Linked DNA regions of Macaca mulatta. The protein of the gene in region 2 purifies or fractionates together with the protein of the main gene of each other region. This does not show direct contact. Links are inferred from orthologs where the notes say so. Each region holds a gene or a part of one and is shown on either strand. Other genes may lie near its edges.

Region 1 (4,519 bases), on a different chromosome or scaffold from region 2:
AGCAGAGGCAGGAACTCGTCAGCACCCGCGTCCTCCCCTGTGGGGACATGGTGAGAGGAAGAAGCTTCAGGTGCAGTCCTTGCTTTAGGCAGTGACCCCTCCCCATGGCCTAGCAACCATGGCAGGGCTTCGGAGACAACGCACTGCTCTCTGGGCCTCAGTTTCGCAATCTGCAAGATGGGAGGGTGGGCTCATTGTCTCCCGCAGGGCCATTCCAGGGTCCTGGGGACCTGCCACTGGGGGTCCCACCTCCAACTCAGAGGGGCAGGGCAGGGTGAGGTGGTGGCAGAGACATACCCTCCTGGGTCCTCAGGGCCATGTAGAGCAGCTTGCAGGCCTGCAGGAGCCGCTTCACCTGGGCGCTGGGTGAGTAGGTGCGGAGCAGCTGCAGCAACTTCTGGCGCACCTGCTCCATCTCTACTGGGGAGGGCAGGCTCAGGTGGGACCCAAAAGCTCCGGGACCCTGGGCCCGGGCCAGGCGGAGGCCCTCAGCTAGGCGGCCCAGGGAGCCGTCTGCGGCAAGCCGGCGCCGCACGCGGGCTGCCAGGATGGGCCGGAGAGGCTTGAGCACAGAGCGATGCAATGACTTCTCCAGGACATGTTCTGCCAGAGGAGGGGCAGGGAGGGGTCAGGGGAAGACTGGGGAGATGGGGGACAGAGGCCAGGGGAGAAGGGAGCAGGGGTAGAATCGGAGAGGAGAGGCAAGGAAAGCAGGAGGAGGTAGCCTGGGTGAGACAGAAGAGTTTGGGGAGAGAGAGGATGGAACTCTCTCGAACAGTGGTAAGACAGGGTGGGTTTGTAAAGCAGCAGAACAGAATCAGACAGGCTGGCGCTGTGGAGGGGAGCAGAGGGTCGGATGGGGCAGTGCTGGAGCTATGGAGAGACGGAGCCTCACCCAGCCTTTTAGGCGGCAGCAGCTTCTCAGGGCCCAGCTCCACGCTCAGCATGGCCCGGGCCCGGCTCAGTGCCTGACGGATGCCCTGCAGCTCCTGGGGCTCAGGCCCGGCCCGCACCTGGGTCAGTAGGTCCTGCACCAGCTGGCCTGCGGCTGTGTGTCGGTCCTGCATCAGTGCCGCCGCGGCCCGGCCCACCTGCCGCTCCGGCGCCAGTAGGGAGCAGAAGGCGGCACTCATGGACCGAAGCAGAGGCCGCCGGCGGCCCAGGTGGGGTGAGGTCGCTGGGCTCCCCCGGGACCCTGGCGCCCCCTCCTCCTCGGAGCTGCTGGGGGAGCCGCAGTCCACCTCCTGGAGGGAGGGCATAGGCGGAAGGCTAGGGTCACCGCCTGCTGGCACGCGGTACCCCACTGAACTCTCCCTCCGCAGCAACTGGCAAGGGGGCAGCCGCTCTGTCTGGCTGGGGACTGCCCCTGGCAACACAGGGACGGGGGGAGGCGGCACGGCAGGTGGAGACAGGGGGCTGGAAGTCTCTGTGGACACGCGCACTTTGAAGCTTCTCTTGAATTTCTCCCGCTTGGTGGGCCCCAGGTCCCCCGGGAACAGGGGGTTGAAGAAGCACAAGGCGGCTCCGGTGCCCTGGTCCAGCTCTTGAGGGGACCGGGCCTTCAGCTGGGGCAACACTGGGCCTCCAGCCGGGCCCCGCTGAGCCTTGATGTTGAGGGAGGAGCTCCAGAACTCTAGGGAACAAGAAACCAACTGGGGCCTCCAGGATTGGTTAGGGGAAGTTTCCCAAGCAAGGAAAGGCATGGGCTTCGGGCCGTGTGCTGCGAGCCTTCCCCTCCCCTCAGCCTCAGCTTTTTCATCTGTGCAATGGGTGGCAAGGAGCTCTTACCAATGCCCAGATGGGAGATGGCCTCCAGCTCTTTGTGGGTGGCTGCACGGTGGATGGCTCTGGGGAGCTGCAGCGGGAGGAGAAGGATGTCCCTGAGGCCAGAGAGGGGAGCAGAAGGGAGTGAGGGCCGAAGGGGGTGGGGAGGATGGGCTGTCCCAAGGAGCAGGGCCCGTGGACACAGGGCACCCTGCAGGCAGACTCACCGGGTGTGGCAGTAGGCACAGATGAGCTGGACTAGGTCTGGGAACATGAGCTCCGAGCCCTCCAAGGAGACGCCTGAGAGAGGAGGGAAGTGAGGTGCTTCTCTAGGGAACCTCCCTCCTTCCAGCCCCTTCCTGCCAGGCCAGCCCCTCACCGCCAGGGCTCTCCAGGATGTAGTGGCTGGAGACGAAGGAGGGGCCGCTGGCTTCGGGCAGTCGCATGCACAGGGCCTGGCACTGTCGGGTGTTAGATTTCCGCACGAGGAACGTCTGCAAGTGGATAGGGCTCAGGCAGCTCAGGACCTTGGCATCCCACCCTTCTCCCTCCCACCCCTGGCTGGCCAGTCCCTGGAGGTTGGGGGCAAGACTCACCCCCGGGGGCTCGGTCCTCAGCACGTGCAGTGCCGCGGCTGCGTTGGCTTGCAGCTGCAGCCACACAGGCCGGGTGAGCAGCAGGCGCTCCCGCAGGCTCACAACGCGTCCCGGCCGCTGTGGCCCGCCTGCCTGCCCGCCGCTGGCATTGGGCACGTCATACAGTGGGTCCTGGGCTGGCCTGAGGGCGGGCATCCAGATCTGAGCAGGGAGCCAGGGGCTGGGACCCTTGCTCTCCTCTTCCCCGCTCCCAGGTTTCCCACCTTCTCCGTCCCCAGATAGACCCTCTTCTCGCAGCCCCTCCCTGCCCCACCTGGCTGCCCTGCCAACTTCACTAACTTTTCTGTCTCCAGGTGCCCAGGAGTGAAGCTGGATGGGCTGGGGGCTCCCGGAGGGCCCGTGCCTGACTCTCCAGGGCTTTCCATGGCTGGGAGCTCCTTCGGCTTCAGGAAGAGAATCCAACCCCAAGGCAAGGCACGCACATCCCCAGTGAGTAACACTTCCTGAGGGCGGTCCGCCTGTCACACCCGCCTGTTAACTCTTGTGTGTCCACCCCGCCTGGCCAGTGCCTGCCTCCTCTGTTCTGGACCCTGCTTCGGGGGTCAGGGATCCCCTCCGTGCTAGCCCTGCTCTGAGGGCCCCAGCTGGGGGGTGCCACCTCCACACAGGGCCTCCTGCAGCCTCACCAGCTCCTCAAATTGCACAGGTGGGCGGGAAGTGGTTAAACGGCCGACTCAGTCCCCGCAGGCCCCAGCCACACTCTGGGGGCACCTCTGGGTCTGTGGTCAGTTGCTCATCTGCCCCTGGCCTCAGGTCAGCCTTGTGGGAGAGCACCCTCTACTGTCCATAGATGACTCATTCCTGAACATGGGTTTTAGGATTTTAGGTTGCCATGGAGAAAATATGCCACGTCTCCATGGAAACCAACCTATTTGCTTAACTGAGGTTCTGGGGGTGGTTCTGACACTCAGCACTAACCAGGGGGAGTCTGGCTGTGAGGTCGTTAGCACATGGTGCTGCTGCCGGCTGCCTCCTACGCATGCAGGCTCTGCCAGCCTGCCTTGCCAATCTGCCAGGCAACTGGGACAGGTGCAGACATGACCCAGGCTTCAAGCACACGCACCCATCCTCCCCACCCGAGGCACTCCGCTGGCACCATATGTTCTCTGCCCAGTGCCAGGCAGCCCAGCACCCACCTCCCCCTCCCCAGTGTGGCCCCACGCACAGTGCTCCAGCCTCTGCTGGGCAGTGCAAGGAGTGGCAATCTGCAGGCACCTCAGAAGTCAGCCTGGTTCAGGTGCTCCCCACAGAAGCCCTGATTCTCTTGCAAGGTAAATCACACATACACGGGGCACACCAGAATCCCAGGAAAGGTTTTAATTCTAGTCCTTGAAATCTGAGAGGCAGACACCAAGAACTGCCCTGAGAAAACCTGGGGGGCCTGGCATCTTGCCTCCAGCCCCAGCCAGGGTGGACAGCCCCCCTAGATATCACGTCTGACTCAGAGTTCCTGCACAGTGGGGCCTGGCTCCCTGGCCCTGAGGCCGGAGAGCCTGCATCCAAGGTCAGCAAGAGGATGTGGCTTTGACTTCAGCTGTCTTCTCTGTCAGGGGAGCCCCAAGAGGCAGATCTTCAGGAGCGGGAGGTGGCAGGCGGCTCAGGGATGGAGAGAGCAGCCTTGCCTGGCCAGGTCGGCTCCACAGCCACAGCTGTGCAGGCCTCGAGGAGGGCAGAGGAGGAGTCCAGGCCAGTGCCAGCGGAGTGGGAGGGCCCAGCAGCACCACAGGAGCCTGGCTGGGCAGACCCTGAGGGGCCTGTGGGTCTGCCTGTCTGCAGCAGGAAGATGAGAATCCTGGGTGCGGTGCCAGCTGCTCTGAGGGTCCCCCTGGCTCTGAACAGCAGGGTCACGGTCCTGTGCGTATGTGGGAAGGAGAAAACTGTCACCAGTGAGGAAGCTGAAAGGAGGGGGGCAGCCACTTACTGAGCGGAGTGACTTTGGGCTGGCCCAGGACAGGCCTCCTGGGCAGCTCCACGGCCCTCCCTGACCCCTCCTGAGTGGGAGCTCCATCAACCCAGGCTTCCCCAGCCCCATCCTGGTTCCTGCTCCTCAAACTCCCACAAGCCCCTCAAATCTAGACCATCCTAACTTTCTTGGGCCA
Region 2 (2,992 bases):
TAGGGAAGAAAAAAGGAAAAAATAAGTATAAACTACATCTACAAAGCAGAACCAAGTTGTAAAAACAATAACCAGACATTCCATTTCTGGAAATAGATCTTAAGGAAATAATTAAGAATATAAACAAAGATTTAACTACAAGGACATTGCATCAAAGTATAGTTTATAATAGTGAGAAATTATGAACAACTGAAATATCTACTGGACTGTAAATTATTACATCCATATAGCTGAATATTTAAAAAGATATTCATATATATGTGTGTGTGTGTGTATGTATATATGCACACATTTTTTTTTTTGAGACAGAGTCTCACTCTATCGCCTAGGCTGGAGTGCAGTGGTGTGATGTCGGCTCACTGCAGTCTTCGTCTCTCAGGTTCAAGCAATTCTCATGCTTCAGCCTCCCGAGTAGCTGGGATGGCAGGCGCCTGCTAGCACACCTGGCTAATTTTTGTATTTTCAGTAGAGATGGGGTTTTGCCATGTCGGCTAGGCTGATCTCGAACTCCTGACCTTAAGTGATCCACCCTCCTCTGCCTCCCAAAGTGCTGGGATTACAGGTGTGAGCCACAGCTCCCAGCCTTCTTGGATATATTGACATGGAAAGGAGTTAAAGGTTAACTTAGTAAACGAGGATATCCAGATGTCCAATAACCGTGCTCAACATTACTCATCATAGAGAAATACAAAATAAAACCACAATGAGATACCAATCCACGGCCTACCAGAAAGGCTTAAATTAAAATCAGACTGGCCTGGCACAGTGCTTCACGCCTGTAATCCCAGCACTTTGGGAGGCCTAGGTGGATGGATCACTTGAGGTCAGCAGTTGGAGACTAGCCTGGCCAACATGGTGAAACCCTGTCTGTACTAAAAATACAAAAACAAAAACTAGCCAAGCATGGTGGGTGCCTGTAATCCCAGCTACTTGGGAGGCTGAGGCAGGAGAGTCACTTGAACCCGGAAGATGGAGGTTGCAGTGAGCTGAGATCGCACTGCTGCACTCTAGCCGGGGCGACAGAACAAGACTCCCTGTCAAAAAAAAAGACTGGGCACTGTGGCTCACACCTGTAATCCCAGCACTTTGGGAGGCTGAGGCAAGCAGATCACAAGTTCAGGAGTTCAAGACCAGCCTGGCCAACATGGTGAAACCCCATCTCTACTAAAAATACAAAGAATAACTGGGTGTGGTGGCTTGCTTCTGTAATCCCAGCTATTCAGGAGGCTGAGGCAGGAGAATCATTTGAACCTGGGAGGCAGAAGTTGCAATGAGCCGAGATCACGCCATTGCACTCCAGCCTGGGCAGCAGGGTGAGACTCCATCTCCCAAAAAAAAAAAAAAAAAATCAAGCCAAAAATAATAACATCAAATTTTAGCAAGCATGCAGAGTGACCACAGCTTTCATGTGAAATAGTATTGCCATTGGGGGACAGGTTGGCAGGGCCTAATAAACCTGAATGCACATATACCCTGTGATCCACCAGTTCTCCTACATTGTGCCGATCAGACGTGCATAACATTGTGAACCAAAAGACACATAGCAGGATGATGCTAGCAACGTATTCATAGTAACTCCAAACTGGAAACAACCTAAACATCCATCAGGAGGAGAACGGGCGGATTGTGGTATATTCACACATTGGCATGTTACACAGCAATGAGAACCCCTGCCACATATAGCAGCATGGACAAATCTACAGAGACGGTACTGGGCGAAGGAAGCCAGACAAAAGAGTACATACTTTATGATTCCGTGTATGTATTTTAGTACTCTACTTGCCAGTTCTTTCTCAGTTGTGTGCCTTTTCTGAAAAGAACTCCCTTTTTCTGTTATGAAATTGTACTTTTTATTGGTCCCCTTATCTTCCTCACAGAGGTAGCTGAGGAGCTTGGGAGAGCCGCCTCCTCGTCATCTGTTGTTCCGTACCTGCCCCGGCTACCTATACTTCCTTCCAAGACTCGGACACTGAAGAAACAGGTGGAGAACAAGGAGAACATTGAAGGGGCACAGGATGCCACAGAAAATTCTGCTTCCAGTTTAGCACCAGGTATGGGTCTTTCGGCAGGTAGAATCAAAATAGAAACTGCTTTGTTGAAAGAAGCATGGAGTATGAGGCTTTTATGTTCACTTTCATGCCCGTCTTCCTGGAGGGAAGCATGGCGTCTCTTTTACCCACCCACAAAGCCCTTGGCTCCGCATTGCCAGTGTTGGTCGTCCTGATCTTTCCATCCAACATACAACTGTGGCTCCAGTTTCATCTCCTTAACCCTGGGTTCCCAAGTAGGTATCATCTTTACAGTTCCATCAAAAACTTCGCTGAACCTGATAGAGGAGAAGAGGTTGTGCGGTGGTTTTTAAAGAAAGGATGAGTGTTGAGGTAATAACCGGCGGGTTATCTCCTCCCTGGCTTTTTTTTTTCTTTTATTTTGAGATGGAGTCTCACTCTGTCGCCCAGGCTGGAGTGCAGTGGCCGGATCTTGGCTCATTGCAAGCTCCGCCTCCTGGGTTCACGCCATTCTCCTGCCTCAAACTCCCGAGTAGCTGGGACTACAAGCGCCCGCCACCACGCCCGGCTAATTTTTTGTATTTTTAGTAGAGATGGGGTTTCACCGTGTTAGCCAGGATGGTCTTGATCTCTTGACCTCCTGATCCTCCTGCCTTGGCCTCCCAAAGTGCTAGGATTACAGGCGTGAGCCGCCGTGCCCGGCCCCCTGTCTCCCCTGATTTTTAAAACTCATATCACGTTTGGAACACCAGTCACCGTGAAATGATAATGTATTTATTATTTATCTCTGAGTCCTGCCAACACCTGACACTTGATAAATGCTGACAAAACTCTTATAATGCTGCCTCGGTAATTCAAATGTGATAGATTCACTTCTTGTCTTTTAAGTTACTGATCGGCCATTTCTCGTCAGGGTTCGTCAGAGGTGCACAGGCCTCCAGTGGATCCCCAGCACTGCCTCGAAAGCAAAGAGACAAGTCACC

What was found.
Region 1: the proteins of ABL2 (region 2) and RIN1 purify together in Homo sapiens (co-immunoprecipitation; 3 studies listed by BioGRID and IntAct, counting the BioPlex papers as one, with this or other methods). This does not show direct contact. The link is inferred for Macaca mulatta from reciprocal best matches to the Homo sapiens genes ABL2 and RIN1.

Annotation. Positions count from the first base shown.
Region 1 is NC_133419.1:8,087,633-8,092,151, reverse strand, and holds the start of RIN1 (ras and Rab interactor 1), read right to left. Parts: upstream 2,819-4,519; 5' UTR 2,786-2,818; coding exon 2,700-2,785; exon of another isoform or gene 2,674-2,699; intron 2,542-2,673; coding exon 2,361-2,541; intron 2,259-2,360; coding exon 2,144-2,258; intron 2,065-2,143; coding exon 1,992-2,064; intron 1,881-1,991; coding exon 1,789-1,880; intron 1,634-1,788; coding exon 896-1,633; intron 604-895; coding exon 298-603; intron 38-297; coding exon 1-37. Other genes in the region: BRMS1 (breast cancer metastasis-suppressor 1), read right to left, coding at 4,265-4,272. UniProt on the Homo sapiens protein: Ras effector protein, which may serve as an inhibitory modulator of neuronal plasticity in aversive memory formation. Can affect Ras signaling at different levels. First, by competing with RAF1 protein for binding to activated Ras.
Region 2 is NC_133406.1:36,518,021-36,521,012, reverse strand, and holds part of ABL2 (tyrosine-protein kinase ABL2), read left to right. Parts: intron 1-1,877; coding exon 1,878-2,051; intron 2,052-2,922; coding exon 2,923-2,992. UniProt on the Homo sapiens protein: Non-receptor tyrosine-protein kinase that plays an ABL1-overlapping role in key processes linked to cell growth and survival such as cytoskeleton remodeling in response to extracellular stimuli, cell motility and adhesion and receptor endocytosis.